Lepisosteus oculatus: one gene and its partners. The protein of the gene in region 3 binds, or shares a complex with, the protein of the main gene of each other region. Links are inferred from orthologs where the notes say so. Each region holds a gene or a part of one and is shown on either strand. Other genes may lie near its edges.

Region 1 (7,505 bases), on a different chromosome or scaffold from region 3:
CCTGTTTCTTCTTCCTGGAGGCGGGAACAGTAACCGCATCAGTGACGCCGCCACCGCCTGCCGACCGCGCCACAACCACAATCAAATCACAGACATCTCCTGAGCCAGACGCACAGGCAACGAGACCCAGGCAAGTACACAGAAGGACAGGCGGCCTTTCACAGACACTGGGAGATGGACAGACTCACAGGACGATCTCCCCCCACAGCTCCTCCAACTTGTTGTCCAGATGTCCAGCCTGGATTAGTTCTGCCTCCTTCTTCAGCTTCCTGCAGGGAGAGACGCAGTAAGAGTGGACTACAGTGAGGACCATCAGGTCACAACACAGCACAGCATACAGGGACACAGGTTAGAGTAACAGTACACAACAGCACAGGCTACCAGGACAATACTGTAGAAAACAGTGTAGAGTAATATTACACAACAGTTCAGGCTACCAGGACAATACTGTAGAAAACAGTGTAGAGTAACATTACACAATAGTTCAGATTACCAGGACAATACTGTAGGACACAGGATAGAGTAACAGGACAAAATAGTACCTGTGCAGTTCCTGAGTGTCTTTGATCAGCCTCTTGAGCTCATCTATCCTCTCTGCTGTCAGTCTGCGCACAATCACGTCCTCCACAGTCTCCACCACCTCACCCTTCTCTCCCCTCTTCCGCCTGAGAGAGACACAACATTACACAACACTCCTGCACTGTCTCCCCACCACCTCCCCCGAGACACAACACAACACCGCACTCTCTCTCCCTCACCCCACCCTGCTCACACCCGAGACACAACACAACAACAAGGCACTCTCTCTCCCTCACCCCACCCTGCTCACACCCGAGACACAACACAACAACACACTCTCTCTCCCTCACCCCACCCTTCTCACACACCAGACAACACAACACCGCACTCTCTCTCCCCCACCCCCACCTGCTCACACCCGAGACACAACACAACACAAGAACAAGGGATGGGGAGCTGCACTCACTTGGGCGTCTCTGTGGTCTCCAGCAGCTCCGAGTACTGGGAGGCACAGTGCTGAGAGAGACAGACAGGAAGGAGGAAAAACACACTACCGTCACGGCGCTGAAGAGGTCGAGGAAACACTGCAGGAGAACGAGCATCACTGTGTCTCCTACCTTCTGAGAGAACCAGTCCGGAGGGCGGCCTGCTTCTGCAAAGGGCTTGATGGCTCTGCTGACCGACACCCTGGCAGAGGGAGATGTATCTGTTACTGTGGAGTTAACTGTACCTGCCTTGTGAACACTGCGGCTGATCGGTCACGCCAGTGAAGCTCTTTGAATCTGATAGGCTGGGAGAGAGAGAGGATGAGGAGAGACATGGAGACGGACGGAGAGGAGAGGGGGGACAGCTGGAAATTGAGAGAATGAGAGGAGAGAGACGGGGACACAGGCAAAGGAGAGAGAAGGGAGAGGAGCAAGAGGGGACAGTTCTGGAGGGAAACTGTCTGGCAGCCATGAGCGCCAGACAGAGAGACAGGAAGAAAGAGCCCCTCTTACCAGTTCTGGTCTCCACTCCTCATCACAGACGAGGCCAAACACAGCTTCTCCCTCACAGACCAGGGCTCTGTGGGGCCCAGCGACATCAGCTTGTGCTCTGGAGAGAGTCGGGGAGAAGACAGGGGACAGGGCAGAGAGAAGATAGGAGAGGACAGGGGACAGGGCAGAGAGAAGATAGGAGAGGAGGGAGAGGACAGGGGACAGAGCAGAGAGGACACAGGAGAGGAGGGAGAGGACAGGGGACAGGGCAGAGAGGACACAGGAGAGGAGGGAGAGGACAGGGGACAGGGCAGAGAGAAGACAGGAGAGGAGGGAGAGCACAGGGCAGAGAGAAGACAGGAGAGGAGGGAGAGCACAGGGCAGAGAGAAGACAGGAGAGGAGGGAGAGGACAGGGGACAGGGCAGAGAGAAGACAGGAGAGGAGGGAGAGGACAGGGGACAGGGCAGAGAGTAAACAGGAGAGGAGGGAGCGGACAGGGGACAGAGCAGAGAGGAGACAGGAGAGGAGGGAAAGGACAGGGGGCAGAGAAGAGAGAAGACAGGAGAGGAGGAGACAGGGGACAGGGCAGAGAAATTATAGGAGAGGAGGGAGAGAGAGAAAGGTCATATTAAAACAGATAAACTGTATGTGTGAGCAAAATGACAGTCTCCCTCTCACTGTACCAGACACTGAAACCTGGCTCTTTAATCACAAAAGGAGTCACTGACGCTGAGGAAATGATAACAACTGTGCCACCATGCCGCCTGCTGAGAACAAACAGCCCGAGTCAAACCTGGTTCAGTCAGTTAAGAGTTGGATCGTGTACCTGAGGTCTGGCTGGAATAAAAGGCAGCAAGCGTTCGGGCTCCAGGAATATTCTCTACAGGACTGGGGACCACTGGTCTAAAAGATACTCAACCGGCCATGGCGAGAATATTTCTAAAGGATATTTACCCGGCTACCGATCATGGATAGTTAGTACTAACTGGTACTAAAAACGTGGGAAGTGTTCAGTAATAAACAAGAGATACGCGCACGCCTAGCGGTGTCGTAGGAAGTAACAGCCAGCCCCTATCAAGCGTTAGTACAGCTACCAGCGTGGTTTCTCTTAACTTTCTTTCAGGTTCAGACTCTGTATGACACACAGACCGAAAACTGAGACGCTCTCGTACACCCCGGGCCAAATCCTGAACTACAGTCTTTGTGTCTGCGTTACGTTACTCCTAATGTTACGTTAAAAACCGTCCGTTACCAGAATACCACTTATTTCTGGGGAAAGTCACGGTAACCTTACATAAGGAGTAAGGAGAAACATCCGTTCATCGCGCAGAACAGACACACAAAAACACAGAAACAACTCCAAAACACTGATAAAGGTACAAAGACACAATTAAAATATAAACAACACCTACTCCCTATGCCGCCCGCCATCTTGACTCCTTGCCCCTCCCACACCGCCACTGAGCACTTGCACTTCCAGGTCAAAGTGCTTTTCTAGCCCCGATGCTGCCTGGGAAATGAAGTCTTTGGCTTTGGAGGGACATGTACAGTATGACCAATTTATATATCGCTCATGGAAAATACACTTTATCTATAGAAATACAAATAAGGTGGGAATATTGTACTTTCTAAAGTCTTTGTTTCTGTAAACTGTACTGTTTACATTAGTTTATATACAGACTTCAGGGCCGGCCCAATAAGAAAGGGGGATTAGCTCAAATGGTAGAGCGCTCGCTTAGCATGCGAGAGGTAGCGGGATCGATGCCCGCATCCTCCAAAGACTTTTTCTGCACTGCAGTATCACCTATATTTGCATTTCTGGGGTGTTATATACTGTAATTCTGCAAAATCAACTGCATTCAACTTTCTACAGTATCATCCGTGTTCGCGTGTCTACACGATTATATATTTTACATTACTACCTATATTTGTTTCTATAATACTACATACTTCTAAGTTGTGTCCTATATTTGGATACCTCTGCCTATGTTAATCTGAGTTTACACTTTTAAACAGGCGTCTATTTGCAACCCCTAGTATCCCACAATCAAAGGCGCCTTTCCTAACACAACGGGCTGGGACAGACTTCGCCCGCAGATCAGCGCCATCAAGGCAAGACGCGGCCCAGAGGGGGGGCGACAACAGCGACTCCTGACGGCGATGCTGGGAAGTGCAAACTCCCGACCGGCCGACCCACGTGACCCGCTGTGCCCTGCGGCTCCTCAGCTGCCAACAATGCGCCGTTTGTGTGGGACAGGCGGTCCAGATGTTTATCAAATCGATGTGGGTTCACATCAATGCTTCTTTAGTACCGCCGAAGTGAATACTGTTCACATTTATTGTTCAGTCCCCGAGGGAAAGAGGTGCTTGCCCACACACTAAACGAATTTGCACGGCTGTCTAAAGATGGCATGCTGTTTAGATAATCTATTAGCACAGGAAGAATAACATATCTGTAAGGGGGCGAGAAACGCTGGCTTCTCTCGACTAAATTCACACAGCAGGTTTATTCAAGTAGATAAGTACAATATCTACTCATGTGGGAATAAAGCCGATGTGAACATGAATACGTAGCTCTTAGAGGCTACTCTGTAGCGATGCAAAGGAACAACTAAAGGTTTAAACGAGCACCCACCAGCTGCGGTAGATCGCCATGTTGGCTCAGCTCGCCACGGTGCTTCTTTTTTTGAGCCAACATGGAGCCAGTTTCCATTGGTCGCACTCTATTTCTCCTTCACAGAGGCACGCCGCCGCGCCCTTTCTCCGCCTGCGCCTTGGGCGAGGGTTCAGCGTGCCGTCCGATTGGCTGGAGCGGCGGCCCTCGCATTCCGAGCGCTGCCATTGGGCGGCTGCGGGCGGCACTCGGAAGGTGATTGGCTGTCCCTCCGGGGCGCGACGTTTGAATCGGTTTGCTGAGGGGCTGAACGCTGGTCCCAGAGTTCTTAGTTCAGCGCGGTTGTTAATTTAAGTTTAGTCGACAGAGGAAAGGGTTTATAGGACTTTTAATGTGCCTCTATTTAAACTTCTAGAGAGGACACTCAGTCAGAAGACGTCAGAACTTTACGGAAAAACCTGCGTTTGTATTTAAAGAAGGTTAGTGTTTTGTTTTGTCTTTGAACTAAATGAGGTTGCGTGTTTTCTCTCGATAGTGAATGTGGGTAATTTTCAGATTGAGGACACACCGCTCGAAGACATAAATGTCCTACACCCGATTGCTGTTACTGTATGAAGTATTACAACAGTAATTCGTCGGTCACGCCAATAAACTTCAGTAAATAAAAAAAAAGACCAAGAGAGCGAAACCTTAAAATCACTGCGGACAGTGTGGTCGTGTAAATTAATCTGTGGACCCCCCGACTGCGTGCGCTCTTTCTACCGTAAACAGACTTCCGACCTGGTAAGATACAGTTGCTATAAACACCCCAGTGTTCCTCTTATTTCTAAATTTGATGGTATATTGTGTTCTTACAGTTTTTATTGCATGACTTTTGTGAACTGACAAAAGAAAGCCCTGTATTGAAGAGGTTAGAGAATAAAATCGAGAGTATCAGACTGCGAGGCGGGCAAAAACCCTTTTTAAAAGGACGCGTGCGCCTGACCCCCCGTGTGCATGTTCTTCGCTTCTCGGCATTGAAATTGCCCCAGCCTGCTGGTCCGCAGAGAGAGGGTCGTGCGCGGTCTGAGTGGGTTGTCCACCCGCGGAACTGGTTTGAAACGGCCGGGTTCTCCACAGACTATCCCTGTATCTGTGCGGGTTTCCTTTCTCCGGGGGTGGGTGGGGGGGCGTGCTCGCCTGACTTGTTTATCCTCGTGAAAGTGAGCTTCACGCACAGGCTTGCAAATTAGGAACAAACTGCAGCACCGCAATACCAACACTGCTGTTAATTCCTGGACCCGGAGAGTCCCGGGTCCGATGCGGTTTTTCACTCCACACCGCGCTCTAAGACTTGATCTGAACCAGGGCTAACAAGCGAGAGGAGGGCCCGTCTGACCGCTTTGATCGATAGTAGCTAATTGATCCCGGGATCAGTGATCAGCTGTTTCTTGTAAAAAAAAAAAAACAGGGTATCGGCTTCCACAACGTAGCGGGACAGCTTGTACCACACTCCCACCACTCTTTGTGTACAGACGTGCCTCCTGTCCTGACTGGCTGGGCAGCTTGTTCTACGGCTCTCTTTGTGTAGAGGGGGTGTGGGAGAGCCTTGTGGGACGAGCTTGTCCCCTTGGAGTTTCTGTTTTTCCCCCTTGTCCAGCTCTCTCGCTGGGATTAGCAGTTACCTGTGGAATTTAGTGGACTGGCCCCATGTGGAATTTACCTCCACTGCTGAGAGAGAGGGAGGCAGCTCTGAAGCTGGTCTGTGTTCAGTGAGGCAGCCCTGTGCCCTGCAGGCTGCTGGCTCCTTCCAGACTTCTCTAACCACCTACCTGCACCTGACCCCTGTGACACTGTCCCAAGCCTCTAACTTGGCCCCTGCAGGGCCTTGCGCCCTCTGTAGTCCATTCATTAACCTAATTAACCTAAATTGGACACGGGAGTTTTCCTAAGGTTTTGAAAAGCTGATAGACGGACTGTAACAACAAGGAATTAAACTCGAGAACTCGGAGGATTCTTAAGATTTAGACAGCATTCGGGACTGGGCAAATACTTGTGAGTTCTGAAGAGCAGGGTTCTCGGTACAGATCCCTGTGGTGCTCCACTGATTACATCCGCCATCCTGAGTGTCCTGCCCATTGACCAGTTCCCAATCCCAACACATCCATGAATACCTGCTGCCAGCAGTGGGATTATGCCTCTACCGAGACCCCATGTATCCCATGCTGGATGCTGTCTGTTACTGTTGTAGCTCTGCCCGGCTGAACAAGACCCACCTTTTCTGAGAGTCTCGCAGAGACGATTGTCTGGTGTAGTTGTAGTAGGTGTTAACATTGATCTGAAGCGTAGATCAGATTGACTTGCCTCCGTTTTTTGCCCTTTCTGTGCCTGAGCGACTATTTGGAAGAGTTCTGCTAATTGCCTACGGAGAATCGGGTCTCTCGCCTCCTTATGTGCTACTGCTAGAACACAAACAGGACCCAGTAAACAATAGAAGCTCGGAGTTTGAGCCAGTGGTTTAGAGCTATTTTTCTGGACTGATGCTTTGCTATTATTCCTATTTGTTGGAGCGAAACTTGTTAGCGTGAGACTTGTACTGCTGTGCACTGGGAGTGTGACTGACAGCACTGTAAAGCCTGGAGTGATTAGCTTTATTGTAAAATCATCACTGGCTGTCTGCTCTGTTGTTATACTGCTGATTTTCATTTATTTGAAAAAAGCTTCAGTCTCCCTGCTGTTTGTGGGTATATGGACCAGTGTGTGTCCGTTCAGTGGGCAGTGGCTGCAGGTGTAGGGGGCTCAGGGACCGAGGGGGGTGTGAGTGGGTGTGGGTGTGTGTCGGTTCAGTGGGCAGTGGCTGCAGGTGTAGGGGGCTCAGGGACCGAGGGGGGTGTGAGTGGGTGTGGGTGTGCGTCCCTTCAGTGGGCAGTGGCTGCAGGTGTAGTGGGTCTGGGAGATGGTGGGGTGTCACCCCTCTAACCTGAGGCTGTCTGCTGCTTTCGCAGTGGTTGTCATGGCGACGTATGGGGCCTCACCGCGCGGCCTGCTGTCGGACGAGGAGGAGGCTGCGGTGTTCGAGTCGACGGCGGCCGAGACCGGCGGCGGGCAGAGAGGGGGTCATCGCCTCGCCGAGCTGTCAGTCATCTCCCCTGGAGCGGACGCCCCCACGCCGGTGAGACAGGCGACGGGGCAGCGCAGGCGGAGCCGTGCTGGGATATCAAACCCCTCGCAGCGTGTGCAAGCTCTCCTGCTCTCGTGTGAACTCTCCCTCTCTCGCACACTCACATCACGCTCTCTTGCTCTAGTGTGAACTCTCACTCTCTCGCACACCCGCATCACGCTCTCTTGCTCTCGTGTGAACTCTCCCTCTCTCTTGCTCCTGGGCGTGCTCTCTCGCACACTCACAGCACACTCT
Region 2 (7,942 bases), on a different chromosome or scaffold from region 3:
CACTATGGCTGTAACCTATTTTTAAGCAACTAAATCACAATTAAAAATGATTCTACAAAAGCTTCATATTAATTTCAGTACTAGTTACCAATATATTTCTGCTGTTAGGACATTTTAAAATCAACACTTCTAATATGTGAGGTACTAAAGCAACTTTAGAGATCTAACAGCAATGAAAGAGGTCAAGTAGTTGGTACCCAAACTGTAGGAGCATAGAAACAGCTACACTACTTAGTATGTCAAGGGGAATAGTTTGGAAAAGCATGGCAGCATACACCAAACAAGAGAAAACAGCATCAGGAAAGAGGAACAGAGGCTGCAAGTCAAAGACACTTGCTAACCACTACAATATGATGGCCTCAAAAATGACCACAGAACTGAATCTACACCTCTGTGACCCAGTCTAAACAAAAACTGTGGCGAGAGATTCACAATGTTGCCATTTGGAAACAGCTAGTAACCAAGGCCAATACACAGCAATGCATAATCTGGTGTAAAGAGCTCAAAATATGTTTTTCAGAGCAGTAGAAGAAAGTGGTGCTGGAAGTGACCTATGCTCTGTGTTCAGCCTTATACCAGAAGGGTCAACCTGGGAAACGATGTGTCAGTGATGAGAGTACACAATGCATCATGTAGACACAGTAGTTAGGATTAATTCTGAATAAAAAAACATGTAAAATGTCCATATTATTGTTTTAAGACTGATCTTATAAAAGATCCTGATCCTGATCCTGATAACGGACAGGTTAGAAAATTTCGGCTGGATTAAAAATAATTTGGCAAAGCATGGAATAGTTTGTTCTTAAGACTCCTGGGCTGTCTGGGCAAAAGGAGCAAATGACTAAATTGATGATCATATAAAAGCAAAAAATGGAAGCCAAAACATTTTATTTATCTAGAATTGAAAAACTTGAAAACACTTAAGAGTTCAAATCAAATGCTTGAAATGCTGAATGCAGTTACAAAAAAAGCAGTGTACGATTAATCTCACTTTTTTTATTGCTTCCATTTGTTCCTCCCTCCATTCTGGCTTGTTCTTCTTTGCATTGATAAAAAATTCATTCACCCTCTGTTCCAGCTGATCCATGGCATCTACAACAAAAAACAAATGAATCCCTCAGATTAGGAGGATAAAAAGACAGGTTGAGAGCCTTTCCAACAACATATGTAACAGATTTGCTAGACCTTATTTTGTAGGTCTTATTTACTTTAAAGCTAAATACTGTTCACAACATGCATTTGAATTTTAATTCCATAACTGAAATGTCTGTAAACATTAGAAAACATGACTCACACTCAAGAGTCCAGAGTACTGAAAATGGTCAGTGTATAAAAGTACATATCAAAAGAGCAGCAATTTCCATTTAAGGCAAAAATATATCTATGAACACAATGCAAGTACAGGTTTCTTTAAATGGCTATAATGGTTTTACAAATTAAATTTCAAACTCAACACAAAATGCCTGCTCTCTAGCTTGGTGCAATGATTGAGCGTTTACTCCACTTCTAATAACAGTAATCTCTTATCTCTGAAAAAATAAAAAAAATTACATTGTAAATGCCTTGTAGACTGCATACTGTAAGTCTGTCTGCACAATAAAGCCAATCTGCTAAGGACTCTTCTGTGTCTGAAAATCTCTTTAGGCAATACTTTAAAAAGCTGGTTGATTTCATACGGTTCATCTGCACAGGGATGTCTACAGTTGAAGGGATTATTTTGGGGAGATGGCAGACATATAAACTGTAAAGGCATACAGTACATATACACAAGGAGTGAGTGACAAATTTGCAACAATTCTGAGGCAATGATTTTTTATATATATTTTAGATATTAGGAGGAATAAGAATAGTTAATAGAAAGTAGCTCCACTGTAATTTACATATAATCCAAGATACCTTTGCAATACAATATTCTGTTAAGACATATTTAATGTCACACGTGTGGCTGCATTAGGGACTTCACTCGTTCACTCCTCTCTCATCACCAAAATGTAAAACGGTAAAGACTTCCGATAACGGTCCATCCCATTTCTCACGGTAGGCCGCACACACGGCTCTTGAAATTCATCTCGTCTTTCACTTCCCCATCATGTTACCAAGCCAAAACTAACAACGGCATTTGGAATCACCCGGACAATGAAACAAATAAAAGCCTATATAAGTCTTGGTAACGGCACTGGTGAAGGGTTTCCTGTAACAACCCAGATATGTGCCCTCTGCCCCTTCATTCTATTCTGTTCAGGCTGAAACGTTCCTCCTCCAACTCCTTGGCAAGATTTCATCTGCTTCTGCTACGACGATCTTCTAAGCAGGTCTGAAGCACTATTGTTGGACAACAGCACTGAAATACACTTTAAGATGCTTAAACACAGTGTGCGGATTACAAAATAGAAAGTGTTACCATCATGAGTGACCGATAAACGGAGCACTGCCTGGATAAATGAAGTAAACAATGCAGATTGATGTAGACAGAATAGTGCATTTTAAGCTAATAAAGCTGTGAAATCTTCAGGAAAATGTAAATATTCGTAGTCTTGTATCTAATCTGATCAAAGATCAATATACAGCCCCATCTATACCAAAAATAAGCACTCCGAAATGAGAAAACGGCCATGAATTAGCTAGGCAAGTATTTGACTTGGTCACGTTGTAGCGAATGCGTACTCTGAACTTGGAGGTCCATTTCTCTCATTTCCGTAAACCTGTCGCGCAGATCCATGGGAAGCTGCTCGATCACTGCCAAAGAGAAGAATAAAAAAAAATTAGCTAGCCGTCTGGGAGCTACACGACACAACACCTGCACATCCCGCACGTTAAATGATCCTTAACCAACACGAAATTCGCTTACAAAATACCATACTCACTTTCCAGGTAGTCCTCTAAGTACAGCATTTTGGCTCAAACGTATGTTTTAGGCTTTTAGTAAAAGAATTTTAGCCTTTCAATATGGCGCCGTCTTCACCAGCAGCTCAAGGAAAAAAAAAAATCACGTCTCCCCGCCGGAGGTCATTCTATGTGACGCATCCCATGACTGCACATCTGATTGGGCGTGTGAGAAAATGACGCAAACTGATGGTTTAATGCCAAAGCATCATGGGGGATGTAGTCTAACCTCAGTTGTTTTATGACAGGCCAGAGCTTCAGAAACCGAACCACTCAGATAAAGGGCAAGTCAAATTTTGTATGTTAATGATATTTGATTGGTTTAACACATATTTGTTATTAAACACAAACGCACATTTATTATATACAGCAGTGGTCCTTAATCATTTAGAACAGATATCTACCTACAATCATAAACAGATGTACTTTAAGGGTATATTTCTATGTGGAGTTTGGATGATACCCCTCTCCAAAGACATGCTAGTATGTGTATGTTTGCATGTCTTAAGCCCATTGGTGGCTGGGCTAGGTTTCAGCTCACCTCAAATATGTTTGCTGGAATAAGTGGCTATTGAAAATGGATGGTCATTTAACTGGTAGATAAGAAAAGAAGCTGAGATTACAGTTACCACTCACAGCTTCCCCTCGAAATAATCAGGATTTAAATATTTTGGAATGAGAGTAAATAGGAAAATAGCAAATATATTTAAACAGCAAAACAGACATTTATCCAGACTTTACTACTGTCATTAATGTATACATGTTTGTGGACAGTATGATGTGACACAGCAATTTCAACACATACCGGTACACATTCTGCACTGACCAGCACAGCTTCCAAATGTGGCTGTGGGTAATGGGTAGAGACTTCTTTCTAATTTTTGTACTTATTTTACTTCAAATAGACCTCGGCTAAGTGAGATTAACTTTTTTTTTTAATCTTGAACAATAGACTATAAGGCAACCTGATTGAAGTATCCAAAAGCCTCAAAGGCACTGGCAAAGTCAAAGCAGTGAACTTCAGAATTAACAGTGAAACACAAACTAGAGGACACAAGTGGATACACTACATGGAAATATGTTTAAAACCAAGACGAGTGGGTGCTTCTTTACCCAAAGGGTTGTAGCTACACAGTCATGTTGAAGCTGATACCCTGACTTCTTTTAAGAAAAGGCAGAGCTTAGTTCACACCTAACTACCAAATAGACTAGATATATCGTATAGCCTCCTATCATTTGTAAGTGCTCCCAAGAGTTTAATGTGAATTGGGCTCTTTAAATATACAAAATTAAAGATACTTACCACGCTGAAGTCTTTGAATGCATGCTTTCAAGTTCCATGTTTGAAAAACTTTTGCAATTTGTCCAGGTGTTATATTGATAAGGTAACATGGCACTTTAGAGAAAGAACTTCCACGTTAACAACTAAATCAGTATCATTATTTTGGGGGAAAAAAACATTTAGTATTACCTTCGAATAACTATTTCCAAAAATATACTATTATATTTAACCAATGTCCTGTCGATTGTTTGATAGTACAGACATCTGTACTCGTCTTCCTCAAATGTGTTTCATTTAATCCGTTTTATAACAACGGATTTAACGAACATGATTTGTTTCACTGGCATAGTCCTTCATCAGCCTTCGTATAACACAATGTTTGGTTCATGAATTGCGTTTGAAGAAAATCATGAGCATTTATTTGGAGTGAACGGAGCCATACCAAAGCAAAACGCCACTATCGTGTTACTGACGTGGTGGAGCCCTTCAGGCACCACCTGTGTGGTCTCCCGTTCACCATCCGCACTGAGCAACCTGCGCTGCGCCGGTTTACGTCCTTCAGTGACCCAGAGGGACAAGCTGCCCGGTGGGCGGACGAGCTCCAGGAGTACAGTGCTGTGAAAAGACAGGAAGCAGAGCCTTACGATGCGCTGCGCTTCTTTAAAAGCAGTCGTGTCAGCCTACAGCGGCCCACTGCCTGCAGCCCAGACGACCCTGAGATGACAGCGGGCCCAGAGAACGCTATCCATCTGGGCCGAGGGGTATCCGCAGAGCTGTGGCAAGCGGCCTTGAGGAACAACCTTTCCAGCCGCCAAGAGAGGTGCACCGTTGCCTTCAGCCCAAAGCCCTATCGCAGGAGGAGACGCCTCGCCTTCTACCGTTTTCCCAATCGTCTGGGCCCGGTCCACAGCTGCAATATCCCAGCACCCAGCCCGCCCCCACACACTTTACCAGGTGCGAGGGAGCTGGGTAGGGGGCAGTGTAACACCCTGCTATCGCTGTGTCTAGGAGCCACTGAACCCTGACCTTGAGTCCTCCTTTCCCCTCTCCCTGCCTTTACAAAAACGCCCCCCTCTCTCCCTCTCTCCCTCTTTCGCCTTACTCCAAAATAAGCAGCGGCAGCCGTTACTCCTCTCCATGCCCTGCTTCCTAAACCTCCTCTCAGTGATTAGCACGCCTTCGTCGGTCAGAAGGCGAAATTAAATCACTGAGGTGCAGTTACCTTCTCCTGCATCTCTTCCTATACTGCCGCCGCTAGAAGGGAAAACTAGGGGGAATATCTGTATTGTTATCATGCATATGTTCGAAGGGGGAACAGTCAGTGTGCGTTAAGCTCAAAGGAAGAAGTAAAGGTTAATTTCTAAATGAACAGTAGAAAGAAGAAACACGATAATTTGCTCATATCCGAGAAAACCGAAACAACCGAAACATTCCTGTAAAATATTTTGGTTTGTGACAGTAATGCTAAAACAATACATAGTGTAGCACAACTTAATTTCTTTCTCTTAACAATTATTTCTCTGAACCGAATGTGTCAGTTTAAAAACTAAAGGCTGTAAAAATAGTCTTTCAGGATTTAGTATTTTGTGCTTTTAACTAGAAATTTCATGCGGTCTTCTGCCCTCTGGTGGCAAAGCGTGGAACCCCCACAACCCAATGTTGTACAATTTTATTAGTTACAGATACTATAGATATTATATCAAGGGTTATATTATGACTTCAAGCCTCCCCGCCAATATACATGCTACAGCCCTTCTAACACAGTCTCCTAACAAGGAAAAAATAAGAAACATGTTTTCGCGGAAGAATACTTAAGCAGCGAAATCAACTTCATTCTGTGTGAACTTTGTTTTTCTGGACCCCTCAGCCACACCTGATCATTTTACTTTTGTCCGGAGGAAAACCCCGAGTTACATACTTTCAGGTCCCTGTGCTAACTCTTACTCTGTTTTTGTACTTGGCCCAAGATGTAACTTTTTAAACCACCATTCAAGTGTTTCATAAGCATGTAGAGTTGGGAAACTGTTTTTGACATGACTTCTTCTGTTACACTAAAAAGGAAATTAAATTAATAAAACTGACAAAAAATACAGAATTGTGTTAACATTATTCATGCCTGTTCCTATTCCAAAAGAATAGGTACCTTAATAAAAAATTAAGATTTTTTTTCATGAAGAAGGTCAGTTCGAGAAGACCTTCTGAAAGTATCCTACATGATTGCCAAAAGCTCTGAGTTTCAGATGGTGACAGGGAAAAACAGGCATCTGTTCTCAGGTGCTTCTTTGCTCATGTAGAAAAATTACCACATTTTTAAGCATTTAATGCATTAAAAAATAACAGTCTCAGCCTTAAGGGCACTTCTCCATATTATTTTTGTTACAGATTAAAAAAAAAGTTTTAGAAAGTTAAATTGTTCTTTTACAACTTTTTCTATTTCTCCCCAAGACATTTATCATTAAATTTCCCCCTGGCCTTTACCAATCATGGCCTCCTTATAATTCTCATTTATGAACTGGCTTCATCATTCTGCTCTCCTCCCCACTAATAGCTGGTGTGTGGTGAGTGTACTGGAGCACTACGGCTGCCGTCGCATCATCCAGGTGGATGCTGCACATTGGTGGTGGTGGAGAGGAGTCCCCATTACCTGTAAAGTTGTTTGAGTGGAGTGTCCAGAAAAACTGTATAGAAGTGTAAGGATTTATTATTATTCTCCACTTTCTCTGCTGATCCATAATGACTGCCATCATCACCCATTGGTGGATAATTAGATTTCCCTCCTGTGTGTAAAGCACTCTGATTCTTTGGGATAAAAGATGCTACATAAATACCTCATTAAACTGGCTAATCACTACAGGAGAGTATATAAAGGTAAATTGGCATACCACCCCCTTCTTGCTGGTGATTAAAATGTTTTCTTTATTTTATCAAGGGCACAAAAACATGACACTCAATTTGAGTGGCCTTCTTCAAATGTGTATTTCTATAAGCTGATATTGTCACGGATGTCGTAAGGAACGAACTGTGGAGAGGCAGGAGAGCGGAAAAAGACCCTTATGCTTAGCGGCGGAACAGGGGATTAGCAGTTCAGGAGTCGTATAGAAACCTATGCCCTCAGGCAGTGGACGTGGGGTGACCTGGTGCTGTAGGTGGGTCTCAGGACATCTGAATGTCAATGCTGAGCGAAGGTGAATGAGTGACCCGGAAATATATAGCCCCAGAGAGAGAGAGATACCGGAAGGACAGCAAAGCACAGGAAACTAGGGACATGACAGAGTAGGATCAGCCAGAAGGCGTGACAGATATCTACTGTACAGTGTATACACAATTTTAATTGTTTTGAGGTGTGCGATCTAATGTAACATATGGTGTAGCTGCATACAGCTCTCTTATGAAACAGTGGCCTGTGATGCATGAAACTCCATTGTTATTCACTCGGGAAAATTAACTTTTTTTTTAGGAGGAGCTAGTATTTATATCAGTTGGACAGAAAAATGCTCCTGACAAGCTCATTGCTAATTAATTAGTTCTTCTGTATGTGATAAAGCAGCCTCATGGCTCTTGTGAAAATGAAAATCTTGATTGTAAAAAGAAATTAAAGAATTTGTAATATATGTAAACTTTGCATTCATTTTAAGGACATTGTAGTATATTTTGTTCTTTGTTTTGCTTCACTCATCCATGTGATGTTGAATGTATAGGTAATCTGAGGAATTTAGGTCTGTTTTTGTCTGCAAGCATTTTAGAATGCATATATTTTGAAATATGTAATGTGAAGGG
Region 3 (7,380 bases):
GGCCCCTGACTTGTCTAATTTCTATACCGTCTTCATATACGGCAAACTGAAACCAAACTTGCCGACATCAATGAGGCTGGTGTTCTTTTAAATCCGAGTGTCTGTTTAGAAAAGTCTAATTTCCATATATGTATAGATGCAGTACTACATACTTGTAAAACATCCATACACATTTAAATATAGCTTACAGTGAACTGTAATCTGCTTCAAGATGGAAAGACTGCATAATTGAAACCTCTACATGCAGGCACTTCTCAGACATTCCTTTCACCATAATTCGTTCCTTTAGTTCACCAGCTAATTACATGCACAACATTCTCACTTCCAGTGGAAACCTGGCGACTTATCTATACAGCTGGACATTTAGTGGAGCATTATCAGTGAAGTACCTGCTCAAGAGTACAAAACCAGTCCCACCCTGGATTTGAACTCATAACCCTCCACTCAGGAGACAAAAACCCTAATCATTATGCTGCTAACATACAGACACACTGCCTGTACATTTCTTAAGACAAATATTAACCATATGGGCTACGCACACACTATATTCAGAACTATATTTCAAGTAAATGTACCCAATACAAATATACCTAAGTCTTAAAACATCATGCAGCCTTCTTATTTTTACACAGTATTTCTAGTTGGATTTAATTTCTTTCTTGGGTTACTCACATTGCATTTAGCCAGCAGTTCCCACCATGTTTCTATTCAGGCTAGATGGTTCGATTGACCTGGTGTCATTTGTAATTGTACTTATGCTCTTACCTTTAGTTGATTTGATTGCTTACGACTTCGTTAATTTGTTTCTGCCTTCGGTATGAGTTTAAAACATACACTACTTTAAATACAGCATACTGTTTTCAATAACGTCAGCACAAAGAGCCTCTCCTGCATTGCTTACACTTGTTTTTCTCTGAACACCTAATAAGTCATTTATAATGAACTGACAAGCAAATATGACACTGACTTAAACTCTCCCACTAAGAGCTTTTTTCCCCCTTTTTCTAGAGATCTGATTGGTTACATTCCAGGAAACAAGAAAATTAGGGAGTTTCAGACATTACTACAGGTCTGACACCAATTACAAATTCCATTTGACCGTTTAAAATCTGAAAGCAAATTTAAAAATGGCCCCCAGACAGAAAATAAATTAACTGTTCTGTGATTAAGAACTCAGAGCACAAACCACAAGAGAGTTTTCCATTTGGACTAGGATAGGGAAACTGATGCAAGCCTTATGCGGATAAGCCTTACTGAGTGTACTAGTGCTCTATGGCTGCCGTCGCATCATCCAGGTGGGGCTGCACATTGGTGGTGGTGGAGGGGAGTCCCCATTACCTCTAAAGCGCTTTGAGTGGAGTGTCCAGAAAAGCGCTATATAAGTGTAAGCAATTATTATTATTAATTATTATGGTTCCCAAGTTTAAATAATGTACTGCTAAGAAAACAAGATACACCTTAGTGTATCTTCATGTTTATAAGAGTGATTAAGTACCAGAGACTCACCAAGGTTTACAAAGCACTGCTAATATCTAGCAGACAGTTGTTGCTTCCTAGTTGCAAGTTGATTGATGTTAACTTTAGTTCGCAAGACTATCACAGAACACTAGATCTCTTCACACAGACGCAAAAAACTGGAGGGTTAACCGCTTACTGGGACCCCTTTTAAAAGTATTAGGTCACTTAGTTTCAAATCGAACAGAAAGAAAGAGCCGACCCTAGATTTTTGGGCTACGCAAGTGGCACGTTTTGGCAAGCCACAAGACTTGAATGCAAATCTGGGTTATTGTACTGTTTTTAATCAAGGATTTAAGTGCCCATTGGTAAACTCTTGCTGTGGTACATGTCAGGAAGGCCTACGACTCACTGAGGCTTCTGAAGAAATACCTTGGTGTGAACCTTTAAATTGTCAGAATATCGCATGCAGGTTAAGATCAACAAAAGAAGCTGCATCTCTCTTTCTCTCGCTACAGCTTCGAAGAGGTAAGTAGTCGCTACATAACTATATTTAGTTACACCGTGCTGGCACAATGTGATATTTCTGTATACAAACGTTATGTGAAGAAAAAGCGCGACTTTTCCACATTACAACTTTTTACTTCATGGCAAAAAAATGTAAAACATTGTTTGCTGAAATATCAAGAAAAAAATTAAAATAATTACCTTAGCCAAAGAAGGACGAATTATCAGAGCAACGTTATCAAACCTAAGTTAAGAAAAGTATATATGAAAAGCTGATTTGCTCATAAATTAGCATTACTAACAGATATTAATGTAAAGGTCGGAACTTATTTCAGATACGACGAGAAGCATCGATTATATTCGACTGTTTTAAGGGACAAGAAATATGGTTCTCAAGCAGGGTTCGACGAAGAATACGCTCAAACACACGGTGACAATCAAGACTCAAAGTCCAAAATTAAATCTTTTAAGTTTTAGCTGAAAAACTCATTGTTCTCCTTACATTACTAATTACAGACACAAACAAAAAGAAGATATTTTATAGCCTATTTTTTCTTCAACGAAGACAATAGATCACTCTACTTGAAAAAGACTAGCTAGCTCATAGATGTTAGGCCTTTAGAAAAATGCACCCAATAAATCTGGGAAAGTGAACATTTCGCTAGCTAAATTGCTAAAAACAAAAATCCGCCCTGGCCCTTCGTAGTTTTATTCCTTTTTGAACAAGGTTTTAATCTTTACTTAAGCGCGTTTTTCAGTTCTGCTATCTACACAAACACCGTGGAGTGACTGCAAATCGCCGCCCTACCCCTCAGTCACACACAGGGCGAAACGCAGGCCTGCTTCCACTCCAAAATTTTACTGATTAAATCGTTCCTTACCTTCTTGAAATTTAGGCTTAGGGTCCTGTTTTGGCGCCATTCACAGATTAAACTATTAAAATAACTGAAAAATCAAATTTAAGCATCGCCAGCTCTGAATTCACCCCGACACAGTGAAGGCGCCGCTCTGCGTCACTAGAGCGACGCACAGGAATTGCGCGCTGCGTCAAATGACCGTGTGACTCGTTTTCTATTAGCGCTAGGTTCCGCCCTTCGGATGTCTATTTGGAAAAAAAAAACAGCTACACTAGCTGGGCATCCTTATTATCAAGACACTGCATAGCTTTTCCTTGTTCGTCCATCTGGAACATGTGTTAATATTAAATCTTCCAAACAGTAACTGCTATTTACTAACGAAAATATGCCCCTTTCTAGATCGGTTAACTACATTTACAAAGAGACAAAGAATCCTGTCAGATACGTAGAAATCCACGTGCTGTCACAAATGCTAGATTGAATAGATTTTTTTATATATTTTGCTTTGCAAGACGCGTTTGCCTTTTAAGTCTTCTGAATGAGAGTAATTTGTTTTCTTTGATAGAAAGACAATTATCCGATAGCGTTGATTAAATAACAAATGGTCATAGCCTACTTTTAATCACAACCTCAGGAAAATAAAGTGAAGTGTCAATGTTGTCACTCTGCATGATCTTTAAATATAGATTTTGAAAACGGGTAATTCGCTCCCTATGCTGGAATGGACTGCATTGCATCCTCTAATACACACAGAACAACCCGTATTAGATAACCATGTGAATGGACAGAGTGGATTGCCAGGGTGAAATCAAAGCTGTGTCTGTGGAAAACATGGTCACTGACCCTCACTTGGAAGGTGATGCCGAAATCTGACATCCTGTGGCTTTAGTTACCCTGCCATGGTGTGCCTGCAGCCTCTTTTTGGTACTATGTGTAACGGAAGCGTTCTTTTAGGACCCTATGCAGACGACATGATCCGGGGTAGAGTGAGGAAAACATGGGGAAAAAGCTTGCGGGAGTCGGGAATGAAAACAGGGGGCGTGTTCATGGAACGCTGGTGTTTGGGGAAGGTGTGGCCGAGGCAAACAATCCAGAAAGACGTCCAAGAGGGAATCCAAGAGAAGGCGAAAATCCAAAACCGGACGGTCCATCCAAGACAAACAGAATAAAAACAGGAACCGGCAGGAACAGGAACTTAAAAGCTTGACGGGACCAGGCACTTCCAGGTCCCAGACTCGCCTGGTACAGAAACCAGTGCAGAGCCCGGAAGACAGTGAGCGCCCGGCTTTTATAGGACGAGGGGCAGGAACCGGAGGCAGGTGCAGGGGATGAGTTCTGAACAAGGAAGGGCTGGAGTGTCCTTAAGAGGAGGGGGTCACGATCGTGACACTATGGGACCTGATCAGCCACAACTACTAGTACTTAGTCAGGCTGTGGTTCTCCCTCCTGATGAGGCACCTGCTCCTGTGGTCAAACACGGGGCCAAAAGCAGAAAAGCAACCAGGAATCCACACCCACGCTGTCAAGAGGAACCAAAGATACGAGACCATGACATGGCCAGAGCTCTGCACCACTGAGCCCTATACAAGGAGCAGAGGGGGGAACTGGTTCACAATTGCTAACCCCAAATGAGACCTGGGAGTGGACTCAACTCAAAGAACTGGAAAACAAGCTGGAGGACCTCAAATGGAAGGCTGTGCAGCCGAGGCTGGTGACCAGAGAGGACCTTGGCAGACACTTGATGACCAGGAACACACACTGCCCCTAGGACACGTGTTTTATCAGGAGACAACGGAGCACATGTTCTGGATTTGCCCCTTCACCAAAGTGGTGCATGGAAGAATGGAAAACACTGTACGACTCCTGGGAGTAGGAACAGTGCTAAGCTACCAGTGTGCCGTGGCAGTGAGTGTCCCTCACAATACTAGGACTGTGGAATGTGAGGAACACTGTCATCCAGCACAACACAAAGTTGGGAGTGAGGATCCTGGCAAACGTCAGAGGCAGAATGAAGCGCAACGTAGCCGAGTGGGCTTTCTCCGCAGCAAAGGAGTGCTGGAACTGACTGTGTGCACCGCTGTGCGAATCCAACCATCACCACCACTTGCTAAAGAACTGTGTAGCAAAGTAGCGGTTGGAAGAACGGGTGAGTCATCAAGGGGCGGAGTCATTGAATTCAGGAAGCTAAATTCTTCGGATTCTCACAGGGAAATCACGGGATTGGCTGTACCTGGTGACTTCAGATCCCTATATAAGTGGTTCCTAAGGCTGACCTCTAACCTCAGTCACCTAAAACTGCGAAAACGATGAAGAATGACTTATTCATGCAGGATATTTTAGAAAATAACTGCTATACCTTGTGACGGAGGCCTACAGCATTCTTATTCCATCTCTTTAAAAAAAAAAAAGAGGCTAACCAATTGGGAACCTGTCTATTTTTGTATGCAGGTTTAAATCACTTGGCTTTTCTCGAATGTATATCACGTAAACTGCAAAATTATTACTCCCCTAGGGTCTCCACAGGTTAGAACGGAGGAATTACTTTGAAGGCGACAACAAATTTCTAAAAGTAACTGTGCAAATAGCGGAAACCAGCAATCTTTCCAGAATGCATACTGGCTCTTGTTTTACAGAGACATTGAACATTTTAATTCATGTTTTTTTTTCTGTTGATTTGATTTATATTCAAAGCCGCACAACACCATAATAAATGAAAGTGCAACTGTGTAATAGGCCAGCACCCGAATAACATTTATCAAATGGGAGCTGCGAGCGGCAGGGGAAAGGTTGCTGTATTGTGTGCCCATAAATACTGCATGTACATGTGCAGTGATGTGAGCGCAAGAAACAGTCGTATTTATGAAAGAAATCGCCTCTGCTGTTCTTGCATGGAAATTACTTCCAAATCCTGGGTTAAATGTGCATTAAGACACGTGCGCGTAAAGAGATGCTATTTTCAACCACGGTGGTATTTCGTGCAGAGCTTTTACAGGTATGTTTGCAAACTTCTCGTGCCCACGAAAAGTCCTGCTGTGCTCGATCTCCAGTTACTTTGTGTCTGTAGGGTCAGTGCTGTCAGCCAGCTGCTTTTTCTTGACTGACGCTTGTATTCGCATCACACAGGTAACTGTGAAAACTTTTGTTTTTAAATGTGATTCTGGTATTTATGCTTATGGCTGTTGAAGCGCGTCACGCACAGATCTCTCTTCTTTCGAGGCGAAGAAGCGCGTCCAAAGAGACAAACGCACTTAAATCAATGAGTAGCGGAGCCGTTCCTTGACTGCTTCCAATGCGCGCTATTAGAAATGGATGAACACGGAGAATACAGCGCGATAGTGGTCACAATGGGACGCGATTGCGCGTGTGCATGCTAGTTTCTTGAAAACCTCGGGTCTTTTCCGTCTTGATAGTGTACTTACGCCGGCGGAGATCATTTTCAGTTTCAGATGGGGTGGTGATGGTGATAATTATAACAGCACAGTAACGTTAATAACATCTAGTTAAAAAACAACGACAGTACCCGCAAGCGTAAGAGCCTTCTTGACAGCGTGAGGCAGTGGCATCCTGTTTGTATTTGTGCAGAGAATGCGCAAACAATCCAATCTAATTGATGGATTAAAGCCTTCTTCACTTTTAGCAGGTTCAGTTTGCTGCTGTTGTACAGCTAAGAAGTTCGTTTTCAAAGCTGACACCTTTGTTCGTAAATATTAACTCATAATACAGGTATGGGCAGTGCGTATATTCCACTTGAGTGCTTTCAGATGGCTAGTGGTTAGTGGTTTTTCAAATAAGTGTTTAAAACAAACGAACCACGCGATTTAGTTTCCCGATTAATCCGATGCGCTTCAGGTAGACTGTCTTGATTCCTGCTCTGTTTATTGTGCGGGTGTGTGATAAGGGAAAATATGTATAGGATATCATCCTTGCGGAAAACAATCCAGTGTTGTTAACCATCAAAATAGGTGATGAATCCGGTATGAGATTATAAGAAATGCCACCTCCCATTCACAGAGCTTTTTGCTCTTTATTGAAAGAATTGTCATATTAATGGTGCGCGTCTGTCTGAAAAGGTACCTTCTCGATTCTGTGATCAAACTGGTAGCGCACGATCCTATTGAAATTCACACCAACTGGGTTTCATAATCCCAGTAAAGAGGGGGCATGAGAGGTACAAGCGGAAGAACTGTGAAGTCGGGATTCGTGATGTCATGCCAAGTTTCAACTGAAACGCTGAGCAGAGCGCTGCTACGCCTGATAGTTTCCAAGTCGGGGTTTGTGCTGTGAGATCAGTGAAACCATTATGTCACTAGACAATTCAAATATCCATCACCACAACTCGGGCCAATGAGCAAGGTAGCCTGAAGAAGTCCCTTTTGATAAGAGGTGAGAAGTTTTAATGCCACAATAAATTCACTCTGTGTGTATTACACCATCCTCTTACTGACATCTTATGGTTTCTGGCAACTGCCAAAAGGTCTCATGTCACCATTCTGCAGTGGCACAGTCACCAGACGCGGTCTGCAGGAAAATAAAGGCTGCGATTGTCTTCCACGTCGCTTCG
Region 4 (7,711 bases), on a different chromosome or scaffold from region 3:
AGGTGCTTAAACCACTTTGTCTACTGCTCATTCAAGAACTTCACGTCAAACGTTATGTGAATGCTTTAATATAACTCTTTTAACCAGTCTATGAATCAAACAGGTGACCCATCATGCCACAGATTGCCAGACGATTTTTCTTATAATAGCTTTGAATATTTTTATCTTCCACACAATAAGGGAAAATGTACAAAGTACACAAGCTCAGGTGAACTAACTGGCACTTGCTTTTCCTGAGCATGATGGGTTTTTTTGCCAAATTAAACAGCGGAAATATTCAATTAACTAAGCAGCCAAGTCTACAGTGCCTCCTACCTGGGGCCTGACCAATAAAGAGAATTTTGATCAAATTGATCTAAAGATCATATACTGCTATAGCAATGATGGAATCAAAAAACATTACTTGCTTACCTTTGTGATTTGAATTCTTTCATTATATCCAGAAATTTGTTGTATATCCCAGGATCATTACCAAACCGAATTTTAACTTGGTCCAGATATGATAAGGCATCTTCAACCTAAAATTAGAAAGCAAAATCTCATTTCAACTTTCATTTTTTTCCCCCCAAAAGACCCATTAGGTTAAATTACTTAAACTTTCTGACACCACTTCCAGTTAATGCTGATGACAGTAGTTTTCAAAACAAATATTTAGATTTGTTTTTAAATGAACAATTTAGAAAAACTGTTTTAAAATATGTCATGAGATACAGAAATGTGGAAACTAACACAATAATTATTATACACAAGGTAATAACAATTTAACCATTACCCTTTTAACAATAAGCATAGAAAATGCTGACAGAAGCAGCAAAAAACTAAATATTGTAAACATCCTGCATTCAGGCAATACAGAAATGTTTAAGTTCACATTTAATCATTTGTCAAAATAGTTTATTTTACACTAATCTAATTTTACAAAAAGATAAAAAGATTATTTTAATTATACATTTACAACATGATTTAACCTTATGTCAAATCCTTCAGAAATGTTTTTAAGAACAAAATTAAGTGCTCATCTTCCTATCAGCTCCTACTAAAATCTGAATAGAAACATATCCCCCTGCACACAGTACACCAATGTCATCAGTCCTTGCAATAAAACATAATGATGGAGCGAATCACTTCATAACTCAATTAAAAAATGTTGGAAGTGCAGGAAAATGTTTGTGAAAATAACAGATTTGGTGGCCATGTCCCATTGTTGCAGAAGCTGTAGGCTCACTGGCTGCACAGTTGCTCTTCTCATCATGACTAGCAATTCTGCTTATTGATCCTTCAAGCCTGGCACAGCACTGGGTCAAAAAACACTCTTTTTTTTTTTTTACCAGTCTCCAATACTATGCGATAGGATAGCCACTAGACCATTAGAATTGAGAATGACCTATATTGATGGAATTCACGTGAAACTGCTCAAGTTGATGGCATTTAACACATCACCTTTTTATCTGATCAAAGATATACCTTTTATGGGCAAACTGGAAAATAACATAAGGCGAATAATATGCAATTGTAAAATACAAAGTGAAAAGTTTTTTTTTTTTCCATCTGGGCTAAAACCCTAGCCCACGTTGGCCCTTTTTTGTCAGTGCAAGAGATCCTATAATCCAGACCAGTCAGTTCTCTGAACGTCTGACGATAAATGCAAGAGCAAATGAAAACCATCGGGATCTGATTTGAAATAACAGCATTGCTTCAACACAGGTCATTCTCAATTCTAAATTGTTTTTTAATGCCTAGATATCCCTGAACATCCTTCCTTTAAAATACACGTCAATGCGGTAATTGTCTCTAGAGCGTATTAGTAACCTTTTTCTTTTTATTTAAGAATTAAAAAAGAGAGAGCATGCTATACTGGCTATTACTGTGGGATTATATTTTCTCCATTACAACAAAGATCAGAAAAGAAAATCGCAGTATAAACCTGAAAAAGACTTGAAGAAGATACCTCTTAGCAGAAGTGAGTGTTATTACCCTAATGGTTTGTATCCCAGAGTTATCGAGACAATACAGTAGAACAAAATGTGACAAAAACACAGTTACAGAAAAGCTTGGCAAATTTTTCAACCCGAGCATTTCCTTTACATAATTTTCCTTCCAAAGTTTTAAACTTCAGTGCAATTGATTAAAAAAAAACAATTACAACCAATGTACATAAAGTGATGCACAGTGGCGAAGAAACGTGACCGTTTTGAAGTGTGCTCACAAACCCTCTCCAGGTCGACAGCAAAGCCTAGTGAGCAATCTGCATCAGTTACTATAACCAAATCTGCACTGTGTATAAGATCTCCATTGCATTTCATTTAAACAGAAGCACCTTTTGTCTCGTCAGCCCGTAGGAATGAATATATGGGGGAAAAGACACACAGCTCTGTAGGATCCATTTAACAAAGAAAGTACCGTAAAAAGAATTGTAGAAGAAACGAAAATACAGTTAAAAAAACGGCTCCGTTTGATTTTTGACTAGTTTTTAATAATCCACTACACATCTCACTATTGCTAGTTATATTAGTTATCTTCTGGGAAAGATCTCGCTCAGCTGCGTTTGCTCACCCGAATCATGCATCTCGCAGGCTGACCACATCGCTGAACAAACAGCAAGAAGACATTTTCTGTTTTTCTTACCTTCAGTTTCTGAAAGTGTTGTTGCTGGACTTGTTTCTGCACTACATAGGCCTTGTCCTGGATGTGTTTGATTTGCGGCATGTTGTTATGAGCTCGAATTTTCGCCATTGTCCCCTAATTCCTCAGAAAATATCTTGGCCTGCGAGTGAGGAGAAGGAGGGGGGCGGAGGGTCCCAGCTATTTAAAACGCCATTGTTAGTACACACTGACAGATATACAACTCACGTTTAAAATCGACTGAAACATCGAAGAGTAAGACAACGAATACTCAGAGAATCGCCCCAAAGCTAAAAGGGGATAATAAAAAAATAATTCTGTCTCTTTAAATTCGGCGGCGGGGTGCAGACTTGGCGTCCGGAAACAGAAAAAAAGACCCAGCGCGCCTGCGCAGAGCAAAAGCATTCCCGCGCTCGGCGCTTTCTGCGCATGTGTGAAGTTTTGCCACTTTCCTCTGGAACTTGTCAGCTGAGACGTTGGCGTCATATGTACTGTAAAAAAAATATTACGATCCCCCGCTCCCTGGACGGTATAAGCAAAGAGGAGTAATTGCTTGCATAAATTCCATATTTTTTGTAACCCAATTTTATCCACTTTTAGTTACGTACAGCACACACCTTCACTTATAAACAGCCTTTAAAACATATTGGGACAGCAAAGTCAAAACTCATTTTTGCTTTAAGTTTCAGCAATTTGCTCTTGAGTTGATGAGATTAACATGAATTATAAAGCCAACAATCTAAGTTTATTGTTCTGGTACTTTCACACATGCCTTTTTGTGTACTGTTCTGTTCTGGTTTGTTCTTTGTGTGTTCTGGACTGAGTAACTCTCATCTATATATTACTACTTGGTAAGCTATAAAGATTGCGTCATCTAAATCATCATTTGTATGCCAATGATACTCAGATCTACAGACATAGATGGATGTACTTGGTTATGTGCGAATATGGCTGTTCTCAAAGGTTCTCTGCACTGGTAGTACACTCATATACTACAAGTATTAGTACATGGTACATGGTATGAAATTTGTCTGTGTGGATTATTTTACAGCTTGTGAATGTTCTAATCGCCACTCAGTTCAGTGACATGAGAAACCTAAAGAGGAGATGATACACAGTGGCACTGATACATGGGAGATGTATACATTTAGTATACATTTACACTGACATGCTTACAAAGAGTACATACACACAGATATTGATGGTCTGAGACAGAAATGAAGGTTAATATGCAGAGTTAGATAAATTACAAGCCACTTGAAATTGCAGTGAGTTTTGACATTTTTGTGATATCCTTTGATTTTTGTTATTTCCTGCCACTTCACACTTCACATACTAGATAAGATAAATAGACTGGTTAGACAGACAAGATAAAGGTGTCTAAATAAATATTTCTTCAAATGTGAGTGCCTGACCAGACTGGTTTTATAGTTTGTTGAAACAGTATTTAGAAAAAAAAGGTTTGAAGAAATCAAATATTTTTCAAATGTTAAAAAAGCCTTGGAACACATTTAAAAATGGTAATGTGTGTGACAGTTACCAGTGACTCTTAGTATAACACGGCAGTGCAGTGAACTCAGGTGCAAGGCAGAGCAAGCAACAATCACGCAGGTAGTTATAGGTAAAGTGCAATCCAAGTAATAGTCAGGAATCAGACAGGGTTTGTAGCCAATTGGAAAGCAAAAAGAAAACTAGCACTGAAAGCTGTGATAAAAGTGGCAGAGATCAGGGACCAAGGACAGATAGGAACAGACAGAGGGTGAAGTTGTCTAGTTGGGATTATCTTGGCTCTGTAGCATGATGGCACACTAGATAAACCACCTGTGTCTGTTAAGTCGTTTGGCTCCTTCTGTGTAGGCAAAGTAAAACCATGAAATGTTGAGTTGCCCATCCATCAAGTGTCTCTATTCATCAAGGACAGGCTTAACTGCCAAATTTTCTTGTCGCCAAGGTTATAATTTTGCTCACCCAAAGAAAACTTCCTGGAAAAAAAGGCACATGGGTGGATAGATTTGAGGACAATGATGGCAAGTAGAGTAGGTTTGTCTGAAGTACAGTGGCCACATACCTGGATTGTTAAATTGGGGAATAAAATCAAGCCTTTTGTATCACCTTCCAGGTGTTATGGGACTATACATCTCATACATAACACGTGTAAAGCCATGCTAGAAGTTTGATTAATGAGGGACTGCTGGTAAATTATATGGTGTCAGAATCAAACACCTTTGTTGAGGCCAGAGGACAAAAAGGTTAGAAAAGCTTTGATAAGAATATAGCAAATGTGTCCAATACTGGTCTTTGAGGACCAGTATCTGTTGGTTTAGGTCGCCACAAAATTTGTGTTTATATAAAATAGTATGTACCTAAAGAGCTGGATGAAGCTTTTCAATTAGCAAGTAAGTGAATAAAATGAATAAATTAATGAATAAAATTACTTAAAATAAAATTAGGGGCATCGGCAGAGACAGAATTTATTATTAACACTGACAATATATTCAGCTGCCTTTTCTGCATTGACGCAAGGATGGATATACACTAACACAAAAATGTTGCAGGAATTCACAAGGTAAGTAGTTTGGGTGAAGAGCAACAACCAAAACCTCTTGATCTGATACGCAGAGCTCCTCTTGCACTACTGCAGTTTTACACCACTTCTAATTAATGTACAGACAAACACCATTCCCTTCTCTCCTCACTGGTACTGTCTTTATTTATATCAAGGTGGATTAGAGATTCAAAACCATCAATAAACAAGTCCTGGTTAGAGACTTGGTTTTTTAGCCACATCTCTGTAAAAGCTACAACAGATTCCTTTACCCTTGTTGATAATTGAGTTGCAGTTCATCCAGTTTGTTCCACAATGAGCGTACATTAATCACAATAATTAGTGAACATGTACAGTAGACAATATGTCATTGCATACTCAGTGTGAAGAGGCCAATGATGTGTTATATTACCAAACAGACAAAACTCACTAGCCGAATTTTTGAACAGGGTTAGAAACAGCAAAGATAAAAAGACCCTGACAAAGTACAGGCTCAATGACCACAATCTGGCCATAGAAACTGGGTGACAGGCAGACCTGGCTGCCCAGAGAGGACAGGCTGTGCTTCCACTGCCAGCAGGGAGAAACAGAGGCAGACATGCACATCCTACTGGACTGGGAGAAATATTCTGGGATTAGACAAACATTGTTCCCCAAAATAAATCTCAGAATTCTCACACCTGCCTGAATCAGAACAGCTCCCAATCCTATTTGGAGAGGGATGAGGGAACTCAACTGAGCTCGTAGCACAGTAGGTGATCTCCTGTCACAGCCTGAGGAGCAGTGAGCCTGTTTCCCTGTAATGTTCTAAGTGTTATATGTTGTATGTAAATCTCCTATGATGTACAGTATTTGAATTGCTACTGGCTGTGGTAGATTACAATGGAGGTCTCTCTAAGAATCTTGACACAATGGGTAATAACTAGTGTCAATATTCCAATTTACTAGAGCTTCAAACTAAGGGATTTTTACTTGGTTGTTCTGGGTGTGAGAAACACTGATCAAAAGAATCTTCTGGTTTTAGTTAATTAAATTCTCGATTGTCAATCGACAGTCCAGAAAGACACCAAATAAGATCAGATCAAGACAGTGAAAAGAATAACAGAAAAGAAAAGACCACAAGGGAGAAGACAGGAGGAGAGGACTTAAAGTCTCAGCCATCTGAGCTCCTGTCAAACAGTTCCTTTATTTGAGATAATCTGAAAAGACTCGATTGAAGCTAAGTATTTGAACCTTGCTAAAGAGAGCTTGCTATTCTGTATTAAGGAATTTGGATTTCCTGAGTGAAGAATACCTTGGTTAAAAAAGGCCTTTCATGCTTGGTGGATTTTTTGAATAGGGAGAAAGGCTTTCTAATTTTTTGTAACATCTGTAGATGTTGTATTGACTGTCCTGTATATGCTTTAACAACACTGTAATTTACCTGTTTGAATTTGAAGTAAACTGACTACTGCTCAGATTCGTATTACAGCTAAAAAAAGGAAATGTAAAAAGTGCTCATTAAAATTACAACTGTTTAGGGGTTAAACATAAACTCACGGTAAAGAAACAAATTATAACAGAAATATGTTCTTTAGCAGTTTTATTTGGAATGTGTTGTATTTGCACTGCCTGCTGCTTACATTGCCTCTTTGGAATGAATAAAAGTTTGAATGGAATCAAATCAAGAAAATGAGAGAAAAAAAATTCACAGACATCAGTGTCTTCCTGTTGCACAGAAGCATTTTGGTGTAGTGCTAACACATACCATGCAAAGCTTTCAGAAAGGAAATCATATAGTAAAAGTGTTAAAAGTAAAAAAGGGAGGTACTGTAGTGTACAATGCACTAGCACAACTACATTTAGAATATTGTGTACAATTTTGGTCATGTCATGAAAGTAGTATTGCCGCTCTTAAATTAGTCCAGACAAGAGTAACCAAATGAATTATTGGAGCTTAAACTAAGGATGTATGGTGTGTGGGTTCACATGTTTTCATTTGATTTCAGCTCTAAATGACCCCAATTAAATCATTGTTGACTAAATCTGATCTATGTAAAAGCCTATTCTAGATTTTCAAGTGTTGCTACTTTAAAGAGCCCTAAACACCTGTCCAGGATCATAATTTCACATCCCTGACTTAAAAGAATGTTGTACATTGATATTTTATATGAAGAGAACAGTTAAGTGTGAACTGGAACAGGGGTTCCCAGTCTTGGTACTGGGGACTAATACACTTACTGGTTTTCATTTCAGTGGAGCTCCTTACTTAAATGAGGTCTTAATTGAAACAATGCATCATTGTCATCTCTATCCAATAGGGTCATGGTGGCCTGGAACCATTCCTGGAAAGCATTGGGTGCAAGGCGGGATACACCCTGGATGGGTCACCAGATAATCGCAGGGCACACACAGACACAAACATCCACACACTCATACCTGGGCCAATCTTTAGAGAAGCCAGCTAATGTACCAGCATGACTTTGGACTTTGGGAGGAAACCTATACAAACTTGTGAGAACATACAAACTCCTCACAGATTCAGCAGCAGACATTGAGCCTGGC

Evidence for each region.
Region 1: morf4l1 (region 3) and bromodomain-containing protein 8 share a complex: the UniProt entries of both Homo sapiens proteins name them as parts of the nuA4 histone acetyltransferase complex. The link is inferred for Lepisosteus oculatus from reciprocal best matches to the Homo sapiens genes MORF4L1 and BRD8.
Region 2: morf4l1 (region 3) and ing3 share a complex: the UniProt entries of both Homo sapiens proteins name them as parts of the nuA4 histone acetyltransferase complex. The link is inferred for Lepisosteus oculatus from reciprocal best matches to the Homo sapiens genes MORF4L1 and ING3.
Region 4: the proteins of morf4l1 (region 3) and sin3b are in contact, whole or in part, in a cryo-EM structure (PDB 8BPA), measured with the Homo sapiens proteins. The link is inferred for Lepisosteus oculatus from reciprocal best matches to the Homo sapiens genes MORF4L1 and SIN3B. Residues at the interface, in NP_996670.1 of Homo sapiens: Gln217, Gln219, Tyr222, Ser348, Tyr350, Glu351, Val352, Ala353, Pro354, Pro355, Tyr357, His358; in NP_056075.1 of Homo sapiens: Cys394, Arg396, Arg402, Ala403, Pro405, Lys406, Thr407, Tyr408, Ser462, Phe463, Pro464.

Annotation. Positions count from the first base shown.
Region 1 is NC_090706.1:29,598,264-29,605,768, reverse strand, and holds the start of bromodomain-containing protein 8, read right to left. Parts: upstream 3,001-7,505; 5' UTR 2,929-3,000; coding exon 2,910-2,928; intron 1,615-2,909; coding exon 1,518-1,614; intron 1,207-1,517; coding exon 1,137-1,206; intron 1,036-1,136; coding exon 986-1,035; intron 666-985; coding exon 543-665; intron 270-542; coding exon 189-269; intron 15-188; coding exon 1-14. Other genes in the region: kinesin-like protein KIF20A, read left to right, coding at 7,104-7,262. UniProt on the Homo sapiens protein: May act as a coactivator during transcriptional activation by hormone-activated nuclear receptors (NR). Isoform 2 stimulates transcriptional activation by AR/DHTR, ESR1/NR3A1, RXRA/NR2B1 and THRB/ERBA2.
Region 2 is NC_090702.1:40,169,833-40,177,774, forward strand, and holds the start of ing3 (inhibitor of growth protein 3), read right to left. Parts: upstream 3,006-7,942; 5' UTR 2,893-3,005; coding exon 2,865-2,892; intron 2,737-2,864; coding exon 2,665-2,736; intron 1,093-2,664; coding exon 992-1,092; intron 1-991. UniProt on the Homo sapiens protein: Component of the NuA4 histone acetyltransferase (HAT) complex which is involved in transcriptional activation of select genes principally by acetylation of nucleosomal histones H4 and H2A.
Region 3 is NC_090700.1:48,886,029-48,893,408, forward strand, and holds the start of morf4l1 (mortality factor 4-like protein 1), read right to left. Parts: upstream 3,007-7,380; 5' UTR 2,884-3,006; coding exon 2,844-2,883; intron 1-2,843. UniProt on the Homo sapiens protein: Component of the NuA4 histone acetyltransferase (HAT) complex which is involved in transcriptional activation of select genes principally by acetylation of nucleosomal histones H4 and H2A.
Region 4 is NC_090724.1:101,056-108,766, reverse strand, and holds the start of sin3b (paired amphipathic helix protein Sin3b), read right to left. Parts: upstream 3,011-7,711; 5' UTR 2,734-3,010; coding exon 2,626-2,733; intron 2,588-2,625; exon of another isoform or gene 2,563-2,587; coding exon of another isoform or gene 2,554-2,562; intron 519-2,553; coding exon 412-518; intron 1-411.